Linked DNA regions of Drosophila melanogaster. The gene in region 2 interacts genetically with the main gene of each other region. Each region holds a gene or a part of one and is shown on either strand. Other genes may lie near its edges.

Region 1 (4,913 bases), on a different chromosome or scaffold from region 2:
CTTTTCTAGTCCTTTGCGCTTGCTTGCATTTGCTGCTGATCCTATTCCTGATCCTATTCCTGATCCTAATCCTGCTGCTGCTGCTGCTGCTGCTGCTACTTCTGCTGCTCCCTAATGTCCCTCCGCTCTCCCACGAGGGCCATTCCAATTGAGGTCCCTTCTATTGCCGCAAGAAAAGGCCAACAATAGTTCGTTTCGTCGGGGTAAAAATGAGCGAAGGACCTATACAATCCACGCGCACGCACACACACACACACTGATGCGCAACAAACACCCCTTCTTCTCCTCCGCTTACTTAAAATGTATTGCAAATTTGTAAACAAATTTGCGAGCCTCCTTCGGCTTTCGGCTTATCTTAGTTTTTTGGTTTTTGTTTGGTGTTTTCGATTGTTGTTGCTGATTCGCTGCTTGTCTTACTTTTCTAGATATTTAGATATTGCCGAATATTTTTAAAGCATTTGGAAACTGTGTATTGCAGTGATCCTCCTCCTGTTTGATGTGGCTGTTCTTTTGCTTCTTCTTGTTGCACAAGGACGAAATAAAATTAAGGACGAACGAGGAGACGACAACAAACACTGACGAAGAACACGGCGATGCAAATTGGACGACAGCGCCGCTCCTTTTGGTATTTAAAAAAGAACAATGGATACAAAAATCACGTTAATCGGTGGCTAGAAATTTACAAAAATGTACAAATTAATAAATATAAAACTAAAACAGAAATATAAATTCTGTAACGCAGAACAAAATATATCAAATATAGATGAACCTTACTGACATATGGAGAAAGGGAATTTGGCATTAAATCAAATGAAACATTTCTTTTTTACCCTTTCCATACGCAGTGCAACCCCCTTTAAAACGCCTCTGGCTTTTGCAACAGCACACACACACTCACACACTCTGCTGCATACTTTCCGGATGTTAGCAAAGTATATTGGCCATTTTTCAGATAAATCTAATTTCAAAATTAACGTAACTCAGCAAGAATTGGAAATGCGATTCTTATTGATATACAATAGGTAATAATTTTCTTATTCATTTTGAAGTCCTAAGTCAGTTAAGTAAAAAAAATAATAAAAATATGATTAGGTTTGAAAACTTTTTATTGATTACCAAAATTGTGTTATTTAGTGAAATATCTATATCTATCTATATCTATATCTATAATTTTATGTCATCATCTGACAAGAATTGTTGCCTTCTTCCAATTCGACTGCGACGGGACCTTAGGCGTAGTCCAATTCAAAACGCTTGGCATTTGTATAACGCTTTCCCATGAAATCGAATTTGAATTAATATAGCCGGCAAGAGCTACCAGGATGGAATGGAATAATGCCGTTTTGAGAGTTTAATGGGAAAGGATAAGAACTAGCAACATAGATTTCGTGCATTGAATGTTTATCCGATCGTAGGTTATCCAATTAATGTCTATGTTAGGCCACTAATGGAGAGAGTGGGGAAGGGGGTGGTAGTATCGGTTCCCTTTTGCGTTAAGTTTACGTTACGTTTTTCTCCGTTATGTGTAGCTATGCGCCACACACACACACACACACACACACATCAAGCTCTTCTTTACTCCTGCTTCCTGCTTTTGCTACCCGTTCACGCAGGCGCGTTCATAGTGATGACCTTTCTAGCCATTTATCCGCTAGCTGCGCAAAAAAATAGCTGCCCTAACAAGGACAAGCTGGGGCACAAAGTCCTTGAACAACTAATTCAATTGGGGCAAGGCAATTGCCTAAATAAATACGTTTAAATCAGCGGAAGTGAGCGGTAGTTTAAAATCTACTTTAGTTTTGTGCCCCCTCCAAACACTCGCAACCAAACACCCACATGCCGAATCAGCTGCATACACACAGACACAAGCGCCTACAAGCGAACACACGTGGTAAACGGAATTTAGTACCGCTGCTTTGCCCCTTTTTTTCACTGTTCTGTTTTATTTTGCTTTGCTTTATCGGACCTGGATGATTTTGTTGGTCCCCCTATCGACTTTGTCAATTCTGCGCCGCAGCTGATATTTTCTTGTCCATTTCCACGTACTTTTTGATTTATTTCACTTTTAAATGTGTGCCGCTCTCTCTCTTGCTACTCGCAAACGGTTATTTTCGAGTGCAGCGCTGGCTGGGCTGCGAAAGAGATAGAAGAGGAGCGATAAGCGATTGAGAGAGAGAGAGAGCGAAAAATCGGTTATGCGAAGAAAAGTTCTCAATTTCGTTCGTATTGGTGTGCGCAAGCTCACTCAACGCGGCAAAAAATGAAATACGAATACGAAAAACGGCACCCACACATACAGAATACAAAAAAAAACACACACACACACCATGTGAAATTAAAACTGAATTCCCTTTTTCGATTTCGGAATAAACACTATTCTTGACCGACCGGACGAACTGTCGTCGATTTAAAAGTTTTAGTTGGGGGGCGCGGGTGGTGGCTAAGACAACTCTCGACGGGGTCGCGGGGTGACAATCGACAAGGGGGGGCACTGCCGTTGTCCTTGAACGCAAAATTTCCACTTGACTACCGCCCAGGTGGTCGTGGTCAAAAGGCACTCAACACACACGCCTGCACATGCATACACACACACTCTCACAAACCGAACAGCAGACAGGAGGCGAAAAAGGTCCTTGAAATGCCTGAACACTTCACTGTCTGTCCGGCGTTGTCAGCTTTTACTGTCCAATTTAAACTGCTAACTGCTTTTTCGCAACTGTCACCACCTTATATTTAAATGTAGTTTTCGTTTTCACACGTTTTTTTGTTGGTTCTTTTTGTTTTTTGCTGCTCTCTTTTGCTTGTTACGTTACGATTTTATATTTGCCCGTCCCACACAAACGCCTACACGCAGGAACACAAGAGAACACTACACACCACAGGCAGTTATATCTACAGTTACCGTTATTCACTGATTCAGCGAATTTAGCACGTTCTGGGACATTAAAAACAACCAGAAGACCGCCAATTTGATTGGAGTCGATAATTATTGGATTAAACAAATAATTACTTTACTGCTCCCGTCGAACTTTTGTATGCAGTGCAGCTAGGGATGATAGATATATATTTCAGCACAGCCACGTATCGATAGTTTTTGAAAAGCGATGCCCTGATATCGATAGTTATATTGAATAAACGCGTATCGGTCGCCAAATATTTATTTTAAGTTTTCATTCCGCAAAGCTTACATCTTTAATAAGTATAATATAATTATATATATATATATTTAAATAATAACACAAAATACGCTTTATTATTACATGTTACATTACATTTAAATGTCAGTTTGACTCATTTCCGCATGCATATTTTGCATATCAGTTAAATAGGGTAAAATGATGGGATTAATCCCATTCCTTGTCACGCATTCCAACTCGTTTATAATATTATCCAATCTGTCCATCAATATCCGATGCTCTCTAAGCATAGAATTGAATTGATCTTCAGAATTCTGCTGCGATGCGGGCACGTGTTTAGTATCCAATTCCGATGCGTGCACGTTTTCAGTATCATTTTCCGATGCGTGCAGTTTTCGATTGAATTCTGATGTATATTCAACTACCAAAGTCTTTATTTTGACAAAGAAGTTGTTTTTAAAGTATGTATGTTCCATTTGCGTCTTTTCGTTGCGAGTTTTAATAGTATTTTCCCCTTTGGAAAATGCATCCCACAAGCTTTGCAATTTGGATAGTCGCCCTTCAAAATATCCAGGTTTAGATTTCCGTTGAGCCGGAGCCTTTTTATAATTGCGAATAATGCTTTGAATCTTCTCGCCCAAATTCATTTGCTCGGCCAACAGCGCACTAATGCTCGACGATCCGGCCATCTTAATTGAAAGTCTCTTAAAATGGTAACAGGAATATCAACAATTCAATGATACTCTAAGCTTGGCTCTTTTTGTACTGCCTTGAATTGTCGCTCTACAAAAGGACTCCAGTTATTTCTGAAAGCGCAGGTAATTTTAGGAAGAACGTGTGTCAGGTAGGTGGTATTCCCAGATTAATATGCAGATGGCCAATCAGTTTTTGTTTTATGGCCTTACCGTGTACCGCTACAGGTAAGCTCTTAAATTTATTTGTGCACCTTTTTATTTCGGGGAATTTTCTATCGAACACGAGTAAATTCTCGAGCGTTTAAGATCAACGCGCCGAGCACACTTCTGGGTATTTAAGGAGTTTTAAGCATATGCAAGCCGGTCACACGACGACTATCGACACTTATCGTCAGCGTCTATCGATTAAACTTGCACGTTTCGCCCCAAACATATACATTTCATTTAAAAAAGCACACTTAAACAGGAACTTTCGTGTGGATAGCAATCAAATCATGTCCACCGTGAGCGACCCCAACAGTAGCAATCCGCCGGAGAGTGCGGGGAACATTCGGCCGGAGCCCATTTTCCGGGAAATCAATGCGGAGCAGACCGACGAGATAGTGGAGGTCGAATCCGCCTGCATGAACTGCTTCGAAACGGGAGTCACTCGGCTGCTGCCCACCAAGATACCCTTTTTTCGCGAGGTGGTGCTCATGTCCTTCAAGTGCGACCACTGCGGCCACATCAACAACGAGATGCAGTCGGCATCGGAGATCCAAAAGTCCGGCATTCGCATCGAACTGCGAGTGCAATCCGTGGCTGATCTCAATCGGCGCGTGGTGCGCTCGGATAACTCCAGCATCAGCATACCGGAGATCGAGCTAGAGATTCCGGTGCAGTCGCAGAAGGGCGAGGTGACCACCGTCGAAGGCATCATCGAGCGGACGATAGCCGGCTTGTCGCAGGATCAGGAGAAGCGGCGCATCGATCATCCGGAGACAGCTGCTTCAATTGAAAAGTACATCGAGCGATTGCACCGCCTAAAGGAGGTGACAACACCCTTTCAAGTGCTTCTCGAGGACATATCCGGCAATAGTTT
Region 2 (7,820 bases):
TGATTTACGCAATTTAAGTTAGTAAAATGTAATACAAATCTCACCTCAAAGAAAACACGGTCAAAAGGTGGCTCACTTTTGGTCCAGTCCGCTAGATTCTATAGGTTATCAATGCAATAGGTGATTTATTAATATGATAAGAATTCGAAGTACTCACATTAGATGCGGTCGGTATAAGCTGGCTGCGGCAATTCTGAAGATCTTCTATAGAATCATCACCCATATGCCCATAGAACTGCAACTCCTCCGGAGAACCTCCGGCTGTGATGAGAGTATATATTTTGGTATCCATTGCTCCAACGGCCAGCAGTTGGTTGGCTTGCTGCCTGGAATTGTGATTATAAATAATTAGGTGTTTGCAGCGAAGAGCTCGAAGCGCCGACAAGTCACTGGTCAAAATCAAGCCAATCATTGGTTCTCCATCGGCAAGAGAATTAAATAAGTTCACTTTTTGGGGACCATCTAGCTGCGCATGGTCCAAACTATAACTCTGACAGTATCCCCTGACCAGGGTGAGGCAATCCTCACTGTTTGCCAAGATGCAGCACTTCTCGCCTCGCTCCGCCACTAAGTGATCCAGCATTACGTGTAGAAACTCGAACTTGGCGGAGTCGTAAAGTCCCATGCTTGGCCAAGGCGGCAGTATGGCGTCCAGTACCTCCATTATTTCCTTAAACACTGGATTCGTACCCAAAGTTTTTAGGAGCACAGGATGATCACATACAATTTGGAAGATTTCCTTCAACGTAGACGATTCCTGAAATACAAGTTTTTTGATTTGTTTATGCATGTAAATTGGTCTAAATCTATCTTACTGTTTTAGATGTTTGTGCATATTCAGAAACAAAGAGTAATATTTTTTTCTGCAGTTCAGCTGGAGTTAATAGACACAGATATTCCGATTGGGTGAACTCCTTGGTAGGGTTTTCTATCTTCAAAGTGTTTTGTTCATAGATTTTCTTTCCCATCGAAGTGCTGGAATCGGCGGCTGCATAGGAGACATGTTTATCTTCTCTATGTTGGCTAATTTCCAAATGCGGTGGAGCAAAGGCATCTGCCTCGCGCTTGATCTTCTTGAGCAGATGAGACCTAACGGGTGCACTGTCAGCAGGTGGTGGCGATGTGTCTGTACAACCATTCTGGGCATCTATTTTTTGGCACCAGTTGGCTATTTCCAACTGGCGCTGAATAAGGCACTCCTCGACGGTTTTAATCTCCTCCTGAATCTCGACATCCTTGCTGCCTACTTCCAGCTGATCGTTCTCCTGAAGTTGCCGCTGCTTAAAGTATGTCATGGTGTCCACAACCTTGCCGGTGTCATCCTTCAATGTTACTATGGATCCCGTGACCACCAGCGTTCCGTTGCCAGTCCACGTTTTGTGCTTTTTGGTGGTCTGATTACGCCAGAGCACATGGAAGATGCGGCTATCTTTGAGGGGATTCTCGCCCGCCCTGAATTCTCGAGGTCCCAGGCTTTGGGTGCCCCCTGAGGTGCCCCATTCGCTGGGTAGATTGTTTTTGGGCCAGGAGCAGGGTGACTGTGGTTCCTCTTTGGGAGGCGCCGCTTCGCTCTCTCGCTTTGCAGCGCGGCGCATGGAAGGAGCTTTGGAACGCCGCTTTATGGTGCTAAAGAAGAGGATTACCGGGTATAGTTCACCGTAAATACATAAGTTAATTTAAAAACTTTTGCTATCAACAAAATATAAATATACAAGGCGCAATCTATTTTCAAGCCACTTGTAAGTGTGGCCAATGAAGTGAACCTCGAAAGGTATTCCGAACCCTGGTCACACTGGCATTCTGCTGGTAGCCGGCTCTGGATGATTTTCTGATAGAAATCTCGCAGAGGCAGTGGTGTTTTTGTGAATCCCCTCAGCCACGATGGCGTTCCACTGGTGCGACAACAATCTGCACACCACCGTGTTCACGCCGCGCGACTTTCAGGTGGAGCTACTGGCCACCGCCTACGAGCGGAACACGATTATTTGCCTGGGCCATCGAAGTTCCAAGGAGTTTATAGCCCTCAAGCTGCTCCAGGAGCTGTCGCGTCGAGCACGCCGACATGGTCGTGTCAGTGTCTATCTCAGTTGCGAGGTTGGCACCAGCACGGAACCATGCTCCATCTACACGATGCTCACCCACTTGACTGACCTGCGGGTGTGGCAGGAGCAGCCGGATATGCAAATTCCCTTTGATCATTGCTGGACGGACTATCACGTTTCCATCCTACGGCCAGAGGGATTTCTTTATCTGCTCGAAACTCGCGAGCTGCTGCTGAGCAGCGTCGAACTGATCGTGCTGGAAGATTGTCATGACAGCGCCGTTTATCAGAGGATAAGGCCTCTGTTCGAGAATCACATTATGCCAGCGCCACCGGCGGACAGGCCACGGATTCTCGGACTCGCTGGACCGCTGCACAGCGCCGGATGTGAGCTGCAGCAACTGAGCGCCATGCTGGCCACCCTGGAGCAGAGTGTGCTTTGCCAGATCGAGACGGCCAGTGATATTGTCACCGTGTTGCGTTACTGTTCCCGACCGCACGAATACATCGTACAGTGCGCCCCCTTCGAGATGGACGAACTGTCCCTGGTGCTTGCCGATGTGCTCAACACACACAAGTCCTTTTTATTGGACCACCGCTACGATCCCTACGAAATCTACGGCACAGACCAGTTTATGGACGAACTGAAAGACATACCCGATCCCAAGGTGGACCCCCTGAACGTCATCAACTCACTACTGGTCGTGCTGCACGAGATGGGTCCTTGGTGCACGCAGCGGGCTGCACATCACTTTTACCAATGCAATGAGAAGTTAAAGGTGAAGACGCCGCACGAACGTCACTACTTGCTGTACTGCCTAGTGAGCACGGCCCTTATCCAACTGTACTCCCTCTGCGAACACGCATTCCATCGACATTTAGGAAGTGGCAGCGATTCACGCCAGACCATCGAACGCTATTCCAGCCCCAAGGTGCGACGTCTGTTGCAGACACTGAGGTGCTTCAAGCCGGAAGAGGTGCACACCCAAGCGGACGGACTGCGCAGAATGCGGCATCAGGTGGATCAGGCGGACTTCAATCGGTTATCTCATACGCTGGAAAGCAAGTGCCGAATGGTGGATCAAATGGACCAACCGCCGACGGAGACACGAGCCCTGGTGGCCACTCTTGAGCAGATTCTGCACACGACAGAGGACAGGCAGACGAACAGAAGCGCCGCTCGGGTGACTCCTACTCCTACTCCCGCTCATGCGAAGCCGAAACCTAGCTCTGGTGCCAACACTGCACAACCACGAACTCGTAGACGTGTGTACACCAGGCGCCACCACCGGGATCACAATGATGGCAGCGACACGCTCTGCGCACTGATTTACTGCAACCAGAACCACACGGCTCGCGTGCTCTTTGAGCTTCTAGCGGAGATTAGCAGACGTGATCCCGATCTCAAGTTCCTACGCTGCCAGTACACCACGGACCGGGTGGCAGATCCCACCACGGAGCCCAAAGAGGCTGAGTTGGAGCACCGGCGGCAGGAAGAGGTGCTAAAGCGCTTCCGCATGCATGACTGCAATGTCCTGATCGGTACTTCGGTGCTGGAAGAGGGCATCGATGTGCCCAAGTGCAATTTGGTTGTGCGCTGGGATCCGCCAACCACATATCGCAGTTACGTTCAGTGCAAAGGTCGAGCCCGTGCTGCTCCAGCCTATCATGTCATTCTCGTCGCTCCGAGTTATAAAAGCCCAACTGTGGGGTCAGTGCAGCTGACCGATCGGAGTCATCGGTATATTTGCGCGACTGGTGATACTACAGAGGCGGACAGCGACTCTGATGATTCAGCGATGCCAAACTCGTCCGGCTCGGATCCCTATACTTTTGGCACGGCACGCGGAACCGTGAAGATCCTCAACCCCGAAGTGTTCAGTAAACAACCACCGACAGCGTGCGACATTAAGCTGCAGGAGATCCAGGACGAATTGCCAGCCGCAGCGCAGCTGGATACGAGCAACTCCAGCGACGAAGCCGTCAGCATGAGTAACACGTCTCCAAGCGAGAGCAGTACAGAACAAAAATCCAGACGCTTCCAGTGCGAGCTGAGCTCTTTAACGGAGCCAGAAGACACAAGTGATACTACAGCCGAAATCGATACTGCTCATAGTTTAGCCAGCACCACGAAGGACTTGGTGCATCAAATGGCACAGTATCGCGAAATCGAGCAGATGCTGCTATCCAAGTGCGCCAACACAGAGCCGCCGGAGCAGGAGCAGAGTGAGGCGGAACGTTTTAGTGCCTGCCTGGCCGCATACCGACCCAAGCCGCACCTGCTAACAGGCGCCTCCGTGGATCTGGGTTCTGCTATAGCTTTGGTCAACAAGTACTGCGCCCGACTGCCAAGCGACACGTTCACCAAGTTGACGGCGTTGTGGCGCTGCACCCGAAACGAAAGGGCTGGAGTGACCCTGTTTCAGTACACACTCCGTCTGCCCATCAACTCGCCATTGAAGCATGACATTGTGGTAAGTACTTGTAATACGAATTATTTAAGATTTGTTAAATACTCTTCTTTAGGGTCTTCCGATGCCAACTCAAACATTGGCCCGCCGACTGGCTGCCTTGCAGGCTTGCGTGGAACTGCACAGGATCGGTGAGTTAGACGATCAGTTGCAGCCTATCGGCAAGGAGGGATTTCGTGCCCTGGAGCCGGACTGGGAGTGCTTTGAACTGGAGCCAGAGGACGAACAGATTGTGCAGCTAAGCGATGAACCACGTCCGGGAACAACGAAGCGTCGTCAGTACTATTACAAACGCATTGCATCCGAATTTTGCGATTGCCGTCCCGTTGCCGGAGCGCCATGCTATTTGTACTTTATCCAACTGACGCTCCAATGTCCGATTCCCGAAGAGCAAAACACGCGGGGACGCAAGATTTATCCGCCCGAAGATGCGCAGCAGGGATTCGGCATTCTAACCACCAAACGGATACCCAAGCTGAGTGCTTTCTCGATATTCACGCGTTCCGGTGAGGTGAAGGTTTCCCTGGAGTTAGCTAAGGAACGCGTGATTCTAACTAGCGAACAAATAGTCTGCATCAACGGATTTTTAAACTACACGTTCACCAATGTACTGCGTTTGCAAAAGTTTCTGATGCTCTTCGATCCGGACTCCACGGAAAATTGTGTATTCATTGTGCCCACCGTGAAGGCACCAGCTGGCGGCAAGCACATCGACTGGCAGTTTCTGGAGCTGATCCAAGCGAATGGAAATACAATGCCACGGGCAGTGCCCGATGAGGAGCGCCAGGCGCAGCCGTTTGATCCGCAACGCTTCCAGGATGCCGTCGTTATGCCGTGGTATCGCAACCAGGATCAACCGCAGTATTTCTATGTGGCGGAGATATGTCCACATCTATCCCCACTCAGCTGCTTCCCTGGTGACAACTACCGCACGTTCAAGCACTACTACCTCGTCAAGTATGGTCTGACCATACAGAATACCTCGCAGCCGCTATTGGACGTGGATCACACCAGTGCGCGGTTAAACTTCCTCACGCCACGATACGTTAATCGCAAGGGCGTTGCTCTGCCCACTAGTTCGGAGGAGACAAAGCGGGCAAAGCGCGAGAATCTCGAACAGAAGCAGATCCTTGTGCCAGAGCTCTGCACTGTGCATCCATTCCCCGCCTCCTTGTGGCGAACTGCCGTGTGCCTGCCCTGCATCCTGTACCGCATAAATGGTCTTCTATTGGCCGACGATATTCGGAAACAGGTTTCTGCGGATCTGGGGCTGGGAAGGCAACAGATCGAAGATGAGGATTTCGAGTGGCCCATGCTGGACTTTGGGTGGAGTCTATCGGAGGTGCTCAAGAAATCGCGGGAGTCCAAACAAAAGGAGTCCCTTAAGGATGATACTATTAATGGCAAAGACTTAGCTGATGTTGAAAAGAAACCGACTAGCGAGGAGACCCAACTAGATAAGGATTCAAAAGACGATAAGGTTGAGAAAAGTGCTATTGAACTAATCATTGAGGGAGAGGAGAAGCTGCAAGAGGCTGATGACTTCATTGAGATAGGCACTTGGTCAAACGATATGGCCGACGATATAGCTAGTTTTAACCAAGAAGACGACGACGAGGATGACGCCTTCCATCTCCCAGTTTTACCGGCAAACGTTAAGTTCTGTAAGTTATTTAAATCCCTTGCTAAGGATCAGAAATAATCCCTAATACATCTTACAGGTGATCAGCAAACGCGCTACGGTTCGCCCACATTTTGGGATGTGAGCAATGGCGAAAGCGGCTTCAAGGGTCCAAAGAGCAGTCAGAATAAGCAGGGTGGCAAGGGCAAAGCAAAGGGTCCGGCAAAGCCCACATTTAACTATTATGACTCGGACAATTCGCTGGGTTCCAGCTACGATGACGACGATAACGCAGGTCCGCTCAATTACATGCATCACAACTACAGTTCGGATGACGACGATGTGGCAGATGATATCGATGCGGGACGCATTGCGTTCACCTCCAAGAATGAAGCGGAGACTATTGAAACCGCACAGGAAGTGGAAAAGCGCCAGAAGCAGCTGTCCATCATCCAGGCGACCAATGCTAACGAGCGGCAGTATCAGCAGACAAAGAACCTGCTCATTGGATTCAATTTTAAGCATGAGGACCAGAAGGAACCTGCCACTATAAGATATGAAGAATCCATAGCTAAGCTCAAAACGGAAATAGAATCCGGCGGCATGTTGGTGCCGCACGACCAGCAGTTGGTTCTAAAAAGAAGTGATGCCGCTGAGGCTCAGGTTGCAAAGGTATCGATGATGGAGCTATTGAAGCAGCTGCTGCCGTATGTAAATGAAGATGTGCTGGCCAAAAAGCTGGGTGATAGGCGCGAGCTTCTGCTGTCGGATTTGGTAGAGCTAAATGCAGATTGGGTAGCGCGACATGAGCAGGAGACCTACAATGTAATGGGATGCGGAGATAGTTTTGACAACTATAACGATCATCATCGGCTGAACTTGGATGAAAAGCAACTGAAACTGCAATACGAACGAATTGAAATTGAGCCACCTACTTCCACGAAGGCCATAACCTCAGCCATATTACCAGCTGGCTTCAGTTTCGATCGACAACCGGATCTAGTGGGCCATCCAGGACCCAGTCCCAGCATCATTTTGCAAGCCCTCACAATGTCCAATGCTAACGATGGCATCAATCTGGAGCGACTGGAGACAATTGGAGATTCCTTTCTAAAGTATGCCATTACCACCTACTTGTACATCACCTACGAGAATGTGCACGAGGGAAAACTAAGTCACCTGCGCTCCAAGCAGGTTGCCAATCTCAATCTCTATCGTCTGGGCAGACGTAAGAGACTGGGTGAATATATGATAGCCACTAAATTCGAGCCGCACGACAATTGGCTGCCACCCTGCTACTACGTGCCAAAGGAGCTAGAGAAGGCGCTCATCGAGGCGAAGATCCCCACTCACCATTGGAAGCTGGCCGATCTGCTAGACATTAAGAACCTAAGCAGTGTGCAAATCTGCGAGATGGTTCGCGAAAAAGCCGATGCCCTGGGCTTGGAGCAGAATGGGGGTGCCCAAAATGGACAACTTGACGACTCCAATGATAGCTGCAATGATTTTAGCTGTTTTATTCCCTACAACCTTGTTTCGCAACACAGCATTCCGGATAAGTCTATTGCCGATTGCGTCGAAGCCCTCATTGGAGCCTATCTCATTGAGTGCGGACCCCGAGGGGCTTTACTCTTTATGGCCTGGCTGGGCGTGAGAGTGCTCCCTATCACAAGGCAGTTGGACGGGG
Region 3 (4,442 bases), on a different chromosome or scaffold from region 2:
GCATCCAGGCGTTGTAGATGAGCGCCTGCTGCTGGAACAAAGCATGGGGACTGGCACTGGCATTGGCAGCAGGTGCTGCTCCCTGGCTCTGCTGCCAGAAGTGTGTCCAGGGATTGGCCAAACCGATGTCACCCGTCACGTGTGGTCCAGCGTTGCCCTGCTGTGCCTGCTGCTGATGTGGAGCATGACGTTGTCGCAGCTCATTTGCATTCCCAGTGACCTCGGGCCCAGCTGGAACCGCATCCTTCTGCGGAACAGTGGGGGCTTTGGCAGCCGGCCTTATCACTTGCTTGCTGGCACACACCAAGTGAAATATGTGGTGCTGTTGGTAGACATCCTTGTAGCTGCGTATCACCTCAGATATCTTTTGGGAGTCATCTAATAGCTTGCCCGAGTAAATAAGTTTCTGGTCCTGGATTAACTACAGAAAAAATGGAAAGAAATAGTTATAGTGGTCAAAACATAAAACATAAAATTTCACATTATAGGTATTCAGAGGGAACCTAGAGATAACTCATTGTTGCTTTTACCTCCGCGCGAAATTTATACTATCAAACAGTGCCTAAATCTATTTATTTGCACACTCCAAGAGATAACAACTTGTACTTGTCAGTTGACTTTATGGAAATGATACTTGAAACTAAATAAATTTTTATAAATTCTACTTGATTTGCTCTGGAAATAAAGAGTGCTAATGTATTTTTTCTGCCTGCAATGATCTGAATCTTTAGTATATATCAGTGATATTGATATGTGGGATGTACATATGTACATAAAAAACTTGGCACATGAGTGGAGCGTGAATATGTCCAAAAATCTTATCACTTTCTAACCGTAACCAAATTAATCCCAGTTCCCAGTTCCGACCCATCGATTTGGCATAGACCAAGTGCATGACGCAAGTGCATGACGGCGACTATAATTTAGAGGAGCAATCCACTGACGTGTACTTGCGACTAAGACGCAAATAGCTTTGGGAACCGACACACCTATGAATCCTAAACGAAGATGATAAACAATAACAAACTTCTCGATAAGATAATGGGGCTCCTGGCCAGTTTTCTACCTATACGATAACAAGGGGGGGAACCAACTCGATAACCCACCGGTTTGCCAGGATAGATAAGAGATAGGTGCTTCTTCAGCCTCTGGACCGTCCAGCAGAGATCGGAGTCCACATTGAGATCCTCATACTGCTGGTTGGACGACTTGATGAGCAGCCGGACACTGGTTTCCGGATTCTTTTGACGGGTGGCGGCATCGCAGCCCGCGGCTGTTGCGGCTGCGGGTGGGGCGGCGTTCTCCTCCATCTGGCTGACCCCGCGAATCGGAGAACTTTCTATTGCTAATTAATGACCGCGATACGAAGATCGGTGATGGGTTTTTGCTGCGCTAGCGGGGACACTTTTTACGCAGCCACTGTTTCTCACTTCCTACTCCGCTCTGCTCTCTGCGTATTTTCGAGAAATAGTTTATTCTGAATTTGACATTTAATTTGGTATTATGCTATTGTTTGGTTTTCAACAGCTGTTCGTTCTGTGGTGTTTTGCTCGCAGCACAGAGTTATTGATTATGAAACGCAGTAAACGTTCCGCAGTTGATCAAAAACTACTCTTCATTTGGTTCTGACCTGTGGCAAGTGATGAGCGTCGGTCACAGGGCTGCCGCGAGTAGCAGGTATTTTTAAGTCGCAGGTTGCACAAACAGCTGAGAATTGATTTTCCAAAGTGTGTGGGATGTGGCAATTTAAGTACACAGTTGGAAAATATTAAAGTCGTTGCTCAAACACTTGGTTTTAGTGTTTTTAGAATTTATTCCTTTGAAAAATATACGGTATCTAGTTATTTGCAGTTGTGGATTTTGCTCATCACTGACAGCAACACTTGTTAATGCCATATACTACGCAACAGGGTTGCCTTGACTTACGGGGATGCCAACTCGCGTCATCGTGACGTGTCGATTATGTATAACACTTCAGACGTTGAACTTTGAATGAAAACACCGAATAGCATATAAAATGCATTTGCTCCTTAGTAAAAAAGTTAAGAAGGTTTGCCGCTGTTTTCGTATTCGAATTACGAATTCAATACTATTTCGTGAAAATATTTTTTTGACAAAGCGGCATAAAATAATTCATTTACAGATGTCTTCGTCAAGATTTCCTATTCTATCGTTGCCGCTTCGTGATTCGCGTGCCATCTCTAATAACATTGCAGTGCTTTAGATATTTTATAAATTATATATATGGTTATATTCTGTTGAATGTTAGCACGTCCGACGTGCCTTTTCCCCTTGAACTCATGGATAACAAGTCAGCCGTATCTGCTCTACAGGAGTTTTGTGCCCGGACACAGATTAATCTACCAACATACAGTTTTATTCCCGGCGAAGACGGAGGGTACGTCTGTAAAGTTGAACTATTGGAGATAGAGGCCCTTGGAAATGGTAAATTTAAATTACAAATCTCAACCACTATTTATATTCGTATCTAAACCGCCACATATTTATCCAATTCTAGGGCGTTCGAAGCGTGATGCCAAACACCTGGCTGCCAGCAATATCTTGCGTAAAATCCAACTGCTGCCCGGCATACACGGCTTGATGAAGGATTCGACTGTGGGTGATCTGGATGAGGAACTGACTAACCTCAACCGGGACATGGTGAAGGAGCTGCGTGACTACTGCGTCCGCCGCGAGATGCCACTGCCCTGCATTGAGGTAGTGCAGCAAAGCGGCACCCCGAGCGCCCCGGAATTCGTGGCCTGTTGCTCCGTGGCCTCCATAGTACGCTACGGAAAGTCGGACAAAAAGAAGGATGCCCGTCAGCGAGCGGCCATTGAAATGCTGGCCTTAATCTCCAGCAATTCGGACAATTTGCGTCCGGATCAAATGCAAGTAGCGAGCACAAGCAAATTGAAAGTTGTTGATATGGAAGAATCTATGGAGGAATTGGAGGCATTGCGCAGAAAGAAATTTACCACCTACTGGGAGTTGAAGGAAGCCGGGAGCGTAGACCATACAGGCATGCGGCTCTGCGACCGACACAACTACTTCAAGAACTTCTATCCTACCCTGAAAAAGGAGGCCATTGAGGCCATCAATTCAGATGAATACGAGAGCTCCAAGGATAAGGCTATGGACGTAATGAGCTCTTTAAAGATAACACCCAAAATCAGTGAAGTGGAATCTTCATCGTTGGTTCCCTTGCTTAGCGTCGAGCTTAATTGTGCATTCGACGTGGTCCTTATGGCAAAGGAGACCGATATCTACGACCATATAATAGACTATTTTCGCACCATGTTGATTTAATGCGTATAACATTTATTCAACTATTCTAGCTTAAAACTAAGTAAACTCGTTTTATTTACACTCTAGAATGCACATATTTCATTTAATCTTACGATTAATACAATCTCCACCAATTTGTAGGTGGGAAACATAAAAAAATTATTTTCAAGGTCTTTTAGTAAACATCTATGTTAACTTTGTACACGATTGAGATAGGTGTAAAAAATCCAAGGAAATAAGTAAGGGGAGTGGGTACAACAACTTTTACTTTCGAGAAGGTATAACATAATGATATTATTAATTACTTTTCGATGCCAATACCAATGTTAATTCTATTAAAATGTAAAGTATTTATACGGTCCGAACTTATTGTTTGCAACAACTGATTATAAAATATTTGAAGCAATTTACATAAATATGTATTGCACAGTGAAATTAAAAATCTGAACATTTGCCTTTAAAAGGAATGCTAGTAATCAAAGACTTACTTGAAACAAATATTTTAAATAATTTGACGGAAAAAAATGGTAAAAATGCTGCATTTCTTTTTTTTTTTACAAGTACAACTTTTATACGAATAAAAGGGGTTTCAGTCTAAAATAAATAAAGTGCTTCGTAGTCTTCAGCATTTTTGATTTTATTTTTACAACACAATGCTAAAATGAAAACTAAGCGTTCCTCTTAAAAACTTTCAACAATGTATTAACAATTTCAATGTCAATTGCTTGCCTTTTAATGGGTTATCTTATATTAGTACAATATGTTAAATAACAAATCCATAACAATTTGAAATGTTTTCCTAAAAAAAAATGTAAGTGTATAAATGAGATTGTTATTGCAAATAATTTCCTAATCAATCACCAAATTTGATTGCATTGGAATATCTAAAAAATCATTGCATTCGCCACATCAATCTCATCATCTCATCGGGAAACGTTCAATTTACTAGTCAAAATAATATTTACACAACTAAAGGAAACAATATATGATTAGTGTTCAATAGCTAATCTTCTTGCGCAGCTTGAGATTGGATTGTTGATGGTCCAGAGACTGTTGTTGTTGTTGTTGCTGTCGCTCCCGATCCCGATCCTTTTCGCTGGACGCACGACTCACACCGCGTACCAGGTGCTGTTGCCACTGGCTGGAGGAGGGCG

What was found. A genetic interaction does not mean that the proteins touch.
Region 1: of Dcr-1 (region 2) and mei-P26, changing one suppresses a phenotype caused by changing the other (phenotypic suppression), as found in Drosophila melanogaster (one study listed by BioGRID).
Region 3: of Dcr-1 (region 2) and r2d2, changing one enhances a phenotype caused by changing the other (phenotypic enhancement), as found in Drosophila melanogaster (one study listed by BioGRID).

What each region holds. Positions count from the first base shown.
Region 1 is NC_004354.4:9,161,388-9,166,300, reverse strand, and holds the start of mei-P26 (meiotic P26), read right to left. Parts: upstream 3,047-4,913; 5' UTR 2,903-3,046; intron 2,139-2,902; exon of another isoform or gene 1,967-2,138; intron 620-1,966; 5' UTR 1-619. Other genes in the region: CG44532 (uncharacterized protein), read right to left, coding at 3,275-3,826; Zpr1, read left to right, coding at 4,327-4,913.
Region 2 is NT_033777.3:22,735,092-22,742,911, reverse strand, and holds the start of Dcr-1 (Dicer-1), read left to right. Parts: upstream 1-1,820; 5' UTR 1,821-1,881; coding exon 1,882-4,515; intron 4,516-4,567; coding exon 4,568-6,176; intron 6,177-6,233; coding exon 6,234-7,820. Other genes in the region: CG6985 (uncharacterized protein), read right to left, coding at 45-98, 158-757, 816-1,595. UniProt on the Drosophila melanogaster protein: Endoribonuclease which functions in microRNA- (miRNA) gene silencing and, independently of its ribonuclease III activity, also acts in the short interfering RNA- (siRNA) gene silencing pathway.
Region 3 is NT_033779.5:7,798,203-7,802,644, forward strand, and holds r2d2 (r2d2), read left to right. Parts: upstream 1-1,944; 5' UTR 1,945-2,050; exon of another isoform or gene 2,051-2,143; 5' UTR 2,144-2,300; coding exon 2,301-2,445; intron 2,446-2,518; coding exon 2,519-3,309; 3' UTR 3,310-3,896; downstream 3,897-4,442. Other genes in the region: Herp (Homocysteine-induced endoplasmic reticulum protein), read right to left, coding at 1-421, 1,107-1,310; Cdc14 (cell division cycle 14), read right to left, coding at 4,285-4,442.